Linked DNA regions of Kluyveromyces lactis. The protein of the gene in region 2 interacts with the protein of the main gene of each other region in a biochemical or structural test. Links are inferred from orthologs where the notes say so. Each region holds a gene or a part of one and is shown on either strand. Other genes may lie near its edges. The genes, in order: SHE1, TUB2 and RBL2.

Region 1 (3,150 bases), on a different chromosome or scaffold from region 2:
AGGAACACGTTTTCAAGCATCTAAGATTCATGTTACCTCCAGCATCGAAGGAAGAGATTGAGGATCCAGAGAAATGGAAACAAATTGGTAATTTGAGATTAATCTGTACCAACCCACAGATTTCGTCAGTCATTGGCCAACAAGGTGCCAAGATTAAGAAATTGATTGAAACGCATACTGTTAAACTCGTTGCCTCGAAACATTTCTTGCCCGATTCTAAGGATAGAGTATTGGAGATTCAAGGGTTCCCTACCTCGGTTGCCAACTGTATCAACGAAATCGCAGAACTGTTCATTCAAGACGACGTCCATGTACCTCCAAGAACTTTGCCCCGTTACTATCCTCATTCTAAACATACAAAAGAGATCCAAGTGTCTCAAACGTTGGCTATTCCAAAAGAATTTGTAGGTGCACTTTTGGGAGTTGGTGGTAACCGTATTGCCAACTTGAGAAAATTCACAAAGACTAAGATCGTCATCGGTCAAGATCCAACTGAAAATGGTGACAGAATCTTTACGGTTTGGGGTAACGACCAAAAATCCGTCAAATTGGCTCAGACAATGTTGTTAAAGAACTTGGAAGTTGAAAAGAAGAGACGTGAAGAACACGAAGCCTCTTTGAAGGATGGTTCATCTGTTCCTGCTGCTGCTGCTGCTTCCGCCGCCACTTCTATTTCTGCTTCAGGGGCTAACCAAAATGACTCTATTCATACTCCAGTCTCCGATAATGAATCTCCTGTCGTATTTACAGAATAATTAGTTTACGCTTTTCCACCTTTTGAAAGAAGTTAAAACTACATTATAATAGTATTTTTTTTTATTTCGGGCGGGTTGTTTCTTTACCTGTATCTCATCCACCCAACTCACTACACTCCAAAAGACTAGACTGGCTTACTACGATATCTTCTTTCCCAACCACCTCTTTCGCACAGAGAAGCAGAGATGTTATTTGCCGCGTGTCTAACGAGAAAGCGATTGCTCAAAGACGAAGCGTTTATTGGAAATACGACACCAGTTCACTCTTGATTTCGAAATCAAGGTTCCTGTATATTCCAATTTGCTTCCAATATACTTGCTTCGTCCTATAGTCACCTTTCTTCCCTATCAGACACTCATTATTTTCGACCTTTGTCTTTCTCCAGTAGAGAGAATTCAAATCCTAATAAAAGCATCATCCATTTCTGTTGGCTGTTTATGCTCTCGTTTGTGTGTCGATTTATGTAAATCAGACTTTTTATGTAACAGTATATCCACAATCTATTTTTTTCAAAACGAAACCTTCTTCTCGTTTCCTTTAAACCGTTCCTTTACTTCGTTTAACACCATCTCATCTCCTCTGCCTCTTCTGATTCATTTGGGAAACCAAAACATCAAAACAATAACATTAAAAATGGAAAAATTGTAAAGATCGACTTTAAGATTTAATAAACAGGGCAAAGTGGTTGAGACAAAGAGCATTCTGAACGTTACTGCAACCCATTGGGCACTCACATCACAGCGTTTGTCTGTATAGAAACGAATACTGCATATTAGTACCATTATTTTCTCATTGTATACACCATGGACAAGGAAAATATGCCACCTTTATTGGATGGCCATCAAATGATTGAATACATCGGTGTGTCAAAAAGATTAGGGAACAATGTCTTACAGGAGCTGGAACAACGTGCCAGTAACCTTCTACCGAACGTGTCACCAGAAAAGACCCGTTTGATGCATCTGGGCCATGATTCAGAGATGAAGAATTCGATTTCAATGAAGTTTCAGGATAAACATGAAAAACGGTTCCAGGTGATGGACTCTATCGATACCCATTACTCGCTGGCTAAGTACTCTGGTATGCCTCAGACACCAGGGAAGAGGAAAAATGGGTCAGACGCGGATGAGACAAGTGTTGCTGTGAATTTAGGTTCACCAGGATCTGTAAAGAAGAAACAGAAATCCGTAGGAAATGTGTTCAGTCCGGTTACTGATATAACGCATAGGATCAGGAGGTTAAGGGTACGCATTACGACGCCCAATGAAAGGGAAAGAACTGAGCGTGATCGTAGAAGAAATATAATAAGCAACACGCCGTTATCGAGACAGCGACAGCTCCATGAAAGTATCCCTACTTTCGCACAACCTACAGCTACGTCACTGAAACGGAAACAGATGAACAATCCTTTACACAAGCTGGTGGCTAGTGACAACAACAATGTGGAATCGCAACCCAAACCGAAACCAGCAAAACCAAGACACGGTGATATATTCAGGAATTTGAACCAATCGGAGAAGCAGGCCTCACATCCGAGAAGTGCGCCGGTACCCAAACAACAACGTATTCCTCAATCTAAATCCGTATTTGAAAGGCTATATGAACAATCCACGATATCCAGATCCAATTCGTCTAAAAATTTACTGAAACAGGAGAAAACTACTAGTAGCGATGGTAACACATCGCAAATACCAAGATCCAAGACACAACATGATTTACATGGAGGTATGAAAAATGCAAGACTAACGAAATCGACAACGCTGCAAAACGTTGCACTAGATAGACCTCAGTGGAGGTAAGTAAGGAATAAATAGACTCTTTATAAAGATAATCATGAATGTTAATTTGTTATGTTACGTGAAAGTAGAAATCTATATAATAATGATCAAGCGTCATGATCAAACAATGAAAACAACAGAATGAAAGAGCAAAAAAAAAAAACACAACCAAGGCAAAGTAAACGTGAAACGGGGGAATAAATTTACAGAATATTTATTGAGATAGCAAAGAATATTAATCCTCACAGTCTGGAATCTTTTTGCTCCTTCTTTGACAACGATTTTCAGTTTTGTTTTTCTTTTAGTTTGCCATTTTGATTCATTAGCGTTCCATGAGTATGTTAACTTTTTTGTTTTTATGACGATGACATTTTAGAAAAAGATTGTTAATTCATTATTGAGAATATCTGAAGGAATTTAAACCCCCCAGAAATAGCCAACATTAGAGTTCGTATCCTTTGAGAATGTGGGGGATAGATTCAATTTTTTTTTTCTGAACGGAAAGGTGAGTTAAAATAAGCAATAAAAAAATTAAAAGGAAAGAAGTTTACTTCTAATTTGCTTATTTGAAAGTCTTACCGAACAAGATAACTTGCAATTGATCGTACATGGAGAT
Region 2 (3,326 bases):
CAGGCCTGTTGCCTCCATTTTGACCGGCAGCATTGGAATAACGATTACCACTGCCATTGCCACTTCCCTCAGACATCTTCTTGAAAAGAAAACCTTTAAAATGAAACCTTAGTAACTAACTCACGAAAGTTCTTTTGGAGACGAGATAATCAACTGCTATTGAGCCGCTAAGTTAAGAGTTCACAATCAACGATGACAAAAACACCTTGAAAAGCTAAATATGTAAACAGCTTTCGTCTTCAATACACAATCAGTTAATCAATTGATAGCCAAAAATATAAGAAAAAAAAAAAAAAAAGAGACCTGCTAACCTGATCCGATTCGATTCGGTTCGAAATAGAATACCGTAGCTTAATCAAAGTAACCTTCCGATTACTATATACATAAAAATGTAGCACTGGACAGATCAATTCCAACTAGTCAAACCCTCTTTCGCTTCTCCAACTAATAGGTTTCCTTCTCTTAACAAACTGTACTGGACGTTTTTTCCCTCTTTAAATTTCCTAATCCTGAAATCCGTTTCTCTTTAAATTTTCACATCGTCTTTAAATGTCAGCTAGAATCGAAAGTTAGGGAAAATTGCAGTATTCCAGTTTCCGTATGATTCTATCATATACGGAAAGTCAGCTGTGAAGAAAATGATCCGAGAAAATAGTCTGTTCAGTCTTTGGACTCATGGAACACTTCGACAACTATTCTAAATCTTAGGGGAATGTGTTGCTCACTTGCAACCTCAACTCTTGTCTTTAGATGAACTGACACTACGCAGGAATTCACACATCACAGTCACGTGCAAATCACGCGATGTAAGTTTCCGTTTCCCGTATTACCCGCACACTTAGCAACCCACAAAGGGAAATAGACGTGCTCGAAAATTGCCTAAAGAAGTGAAACAAAGATCAAAATACAAACAAAGATATGAGGAAAGAGAAGGAGGAAAAAAATAAACAAATAAAAACAAATAAATAAACAATTTAAAGTGGTTAAATAAGTGAACACAGACGTGATTGTGAACAGGCTTGCACGGGTTAGAGATAACTTTATAGATAACAGCTGTGAGAACTCGTCTATTTCGATTTGTTAGTTTGTTTGTTTAATATACTGTGGACAAGACTACTATTTTTACCCATATTATATTTCACTTTTTTCTTGTAAAGGACAGAGAGATCGCATAATTATTTTTTTTTCTTGAAAGAACAAGGATCAACAATTACTGGATTATAGATACCCCTCGATTGTATCAACACCAAGTCTTTCTACAATTTGCCTGTGCTGTGTTTCTTCAATTGTCATTTTTTGAGATCAGATCAATAACGCGCTCAGAGATATTCTAAAACATGAGAGAGATCATTCATTTGTCCACAGGTCAATGTGGTAACCAAATTGGTGCTGCGTTTTGGGAAACTATTTGTGGTGAACACGGTTTGGATTTTGAAGGTAACTATCACGGTATCGATGATATTCAAAAGGCTAGATTGAACGTTTACTTTAACGAAGCCTCTTCTGGTAAATGGGTTCCAAGATCCGTTAACATTGATTTGGAACCTGGTACCATTGATGCTGTACGTAACTCTAAGATTGGTACTTTGTTCAGACCAGATAACTACATTTTCGGTCAATCTTCAGCAGGTAACGTGTGGGCTAAAGGTCATTACACTGAGGGTGCTGAATTGGTGGATTCTGTCATGGACGTTGTCAGACGTGAAGCTGAAGGTTGTGACTCTTTGCAAGGTTTCCAAATCGCCCATTCCCTTGGTGGTGGTACCGGTTCTGGTATGGGTACTTTGTTGATCTCTAAGATCAGAGAAGAATTCCCTGACAGAATGATGGCTACTTTCTCCGTTGTCCCATCCCCAAAGACTTCAGATACCGTTGTAGAACCATACAATGCCACTCTATCTGTACACCAATTAGTCGAACACGCTGATGAAACTTTCTGTATCGATAATGAAGCCCTTTACGATATATGTCAAACTACTCTAAAATTACCACAACCAGATTATGCGAACTTGAACCATTTAGTTTCAAGTGTCATGTCTGGTGTCACTACATCCCTACGTTACCCAGGTCAATTGAACTCAGATCTAAGAAAATTGGCCGTGAATTTGGTGCCCTTCCCAAGATTACACTTCTTCATGGTTGGTTATGCTCCATTAACCTCGATTGGTGCCCAATCTTTCAGATCCCTATCTGTATCAGAATTGACCCAACAAATGTTCGATTCAAGAAATATGATGGCTGCATCTGATCCAAGAAACGGAAGGTACTTGACTGTTGCTGCATTCTTCCGTGGTAAAGTAAGCGTGAAAGAAGTTGAAGATGAAATGCATAAGGTTCAAACTAGAAACTCGTCGTACTTCGTAGAATGGATTCCAAACAACGTGCAAACAGCCGTCTGTTCTGTACCTCCAAAGGACTTAGACATGTCTGCTACTTTCATTGGTAACTCTACATCCATCCAAGAATTATTCAGAAGGGTCGGAGATCAATTTAGTGTTATGTTCAAGAAGAGAGCTTTCTTGCATTGGTATACTAATGAAGGTATGGAAGAAATTGAATTTTCTGAAGCTGAATCTAACATGAATGACTTAGTAAGTGAATACCAACAATATCAAGATGCTACTGTTGAAGATGACGAAGAATTGGAATTCGTTGACGAACAACCAATGGCTGAAAACTTCGAGTAAAGAATATAAAGGAAAACTTCAGCAGGAAAAAAAAAGGAATAAGGAACAAAGATCAGATGTGTACAGAAGATAAGTTTATCATTTTGAGAGCAGTACCACTGAAAGCAAATTATTTGGACACGAGATAAACAATAAACAATGTACTTCAGAAAGATATTTTCTTTCTTCTTATAGTTTTCCTTTCGTTACTTCTACTATTCTAATACTATTCCCCACACCACTAGTAGAAGCGGAAAATTTCGAAATATGATACCACCCTTACTATAATTTATATGCTTTTTGTTTCTCTGCTCAATGATATGTACTATCAATGTGACCCAAAACATTTCTTTAGTATTTGTTTCTATTTTTTTTTAATAATATCATATCTTACTACATAATTTTAGTCTTCACATTATAATACGTGATTCTTCATGATATATTTGACTCAGATGTCAACACAGTAGTATGTGAATGTTTCAATGACTTATCCTCTTCCCCAGGCCTGATCAATCATTTCACAGATCAACGAAACATACCAAGAACAAAAAGAAATAAATTTTTCACAATAGTACCCGAAGAAAAAAATTAATAAGGAACTAAACTGATGTGAAATATTGAACTGAAGCTCATCTCCCCTCTCATCTCTCAAAAATAGAC
Region 3 (2,122 bases), on a different chromosome or scaffold from region 2:
ATGTGCGCAAAGAGAATAGTTATATTGTGATGCCAGTTACCACTGAAATAATCGCACCATCTGCCGTGCTTGGTTCAGCAACTTCTACAAACCCCGAGGATTTTGATAACAGACCTTTCTTAAAATATCGTGAGCGTAATAGCAACAGTGATTTGCTGTTGGATGAAATTATGAATCTGTACACTAACAGAGATGTAAGTACGGAAGATTCGCCCATAATTAAGAAGAGAATTGATGATTTTATTGATACCATTCATGAATCTTTACAGAACCACAAGGCCTCAAGGGAAAAGGATAGGACGCACAAAGCTGTTGATATGTCACCAATAATAATAAATAAGAGCAGCCCAGGCTATGTTGATTGCCTGAAGCTACCAAATACACCAGAGTTAAGTCCTACTGAAAATTTGGAAGCCAACATCTCCACTCCAGAATACGTTACTTCAGGTGGGTCGGATCAAAGTAGTGGTGGTGAGGAGTTTTCAGATCTGGATTCCTTAGCTCTGGGGTTTAAGTCACCAGTTAGTGTAAGTGATGAATCTTTTTACAGTTGTTCAGAGGAAATTACGAAAGATATCAACAGTCCATCTACTACCTCAGAAACTTCCTTAATGAGCAGACACTTTTCCATAAGGAATGCTGGATTGACTGCCATTAATCCAAAAGTTCTAAATATCACTGATATGCTCGGATTTTCGGACGAAGAGGTTGAAGAAGTGACCGTCACAGACTCCCCTTCTGCTGAATACATAGATATTTCTGACAACTACTCCACAAAGATCGTTGACGATACTACAAGCAGCATTTATTCCCTTCAATCTGCTACAAGTAATCAGTTCGAATAACGAATTCGACGATTACGATTGAGTAACAAAGTATATAGCTATACCTAGCTGTATACACTGCATTTAAAACAATGAAAATACCCAATTATACGTACAAACCGTGATCGTAAGATATAACATCACTTATGTTTTTGTTCTACCTTGGGTCGTATTACCCTATCAAGCAGAGTGAATCTGCTTTCTATTTTTACCGTTTACGGTTTCTCAAAATCATAAATACTGAAATCCTAATGGAAAACAATAACTTCACGACAGTACTATGGTCGAAGTGCCTTCATCTTTTCTGAACCTTATTAACATTGTTTATGAGCAAGAATTGAACCGTGATACCAGATCTTGTTTGCCACAGGTTGATAAATTGCATACACAATGGCGCCTACACAACTAGAAATCAAAGAACGAGCACTCAAGAGATTATGCAAAGAGGAACATTTCTATCAAGAAGAGCTTGAACAACAGAAACTCCATGTCAAAAAATTACAATCAGATCCATCAGTAGATCCATATGATCTAAAGAAGCAAGTTGAAGTGCAACAAGATACAGAAAGGCTACTTCCAGAATTGTATAAAAAGATCAAACAATTTAGGGATGACCTCGATAAATACCTAAGCTCATACGAGGGTACAGAGGATTTAGAGTCTGCAAAGGCCGCGCTTGAAACTGCTGATGAACTTTTGAAGAACTAGGTATAGTAATTGTGTATACTGTATAGTTTTTAAGTCCTCCATGCATTGAAACTGTGGATATATTTGATATCGTTAGTAATATTAGTATGGTACTAATTGAAATATCATTTTGAGGCCCGAAAATGAATTTTAAAGTCGAAAAGAAGAGAATATCTTGAAGAGTTAGCGAAAGACCCAACTAACAAACACCACCAAGATGAAGCAACATCAAGCAGAAAAGAAACCTGTTAGTAATCAGTTATCAACGGGAGAGAGAATAGCAACTTGTTAAAGTCCATTTAATTATGTTCGAGCTTTGAGAATCAGCAAAAAAATGTTCCAACTGAGGTTCGAACTCAGGACCTTTGCCGTGTGAAGGCAACGTGATAGCCACTACACTATTAGAACAGATCTTAATTAAAAAAGAAAAAACTTGCATCACTCATGCGAGCTAGATTATTGTTGCGAACTAGTCATAACGCATGACCGGGTAACTACCAATGTAATAGGCGGTTAAGTATCAAGATGATACATAAGGATTGTTTCTAGTTGAAACATCATTAACCAATCTGAGTTATTATATAAGGAGGCATTAGATCCGGGTAAGGACA

The links.
Region 1: the proteins of TUB2 (region 2) and SHE1 form a complex in vitro, tested with the Saccharomyces cerevisiae proteins (2 studies listed by BioGRID). The link is inferred for Kluyveromyces lactis from reciprocal best matches to the Saccharomyces cerevisiae genes TUB2 and SHE1.
Region 3: the proteins of TUB2 (region 2) and RBL2 form a complex in vitro, tested with the Saccharomyces cerevisiae proteins (3 studies listed by BioGRID). The link is inferred for Kluyveromyces lactis from reciprocal best matches to the Saccharomyces cerevisiae genes TUB2 and RBL2.

The regions. Positions count from the first base shown.
Region 1 is NC_006041.1:1,089,207-1,092,356, forward strand, and holds SHE1 (She1p), read left to right. Parts: upstream 1-1,559; coding exon 1,560-2,555; downstream 2,556-3,150. Other genes in the region: HEK2 (Hek2p), read left to right, coding at 1-755; ADP/ATP carrier protein PET9, read right to left, coding at 3,097-3,150.
Region 2 is NC_006040.1:454,622-457,947, reverse strand, and holds TUB2 (beta-tubulin), read left to right. Parts: upstream 1-1,337; coding exon 1,338-2,687; downstream 2,688-3,326. Other genes in the region: PER33 (Per33p), read right to left, coding at 1-76. UniProt on the Saccharomyces cerevisiae protein: Tubulin is the major constituent of microtubules, a cylinder consisting of laterally associated linear protofilaments composed of alpha- and beta-tubulin heterodimers.
Region 3 is NC_006039.1:823,390-825,511, reverse strand, and holds RBL2 (Rbl2p), read left to right. Parts: upstream 1-1,214; coding exon 1,215-1,532; downstream 1,533-2,122. Other genes in the region: DSE3 (Dse3p), read left to right, coding at 1-845. UniProt on the Saccharomyces cerevisiae protein: Tubulin-folding protein; involved in the early step of the tubulin folding pathway.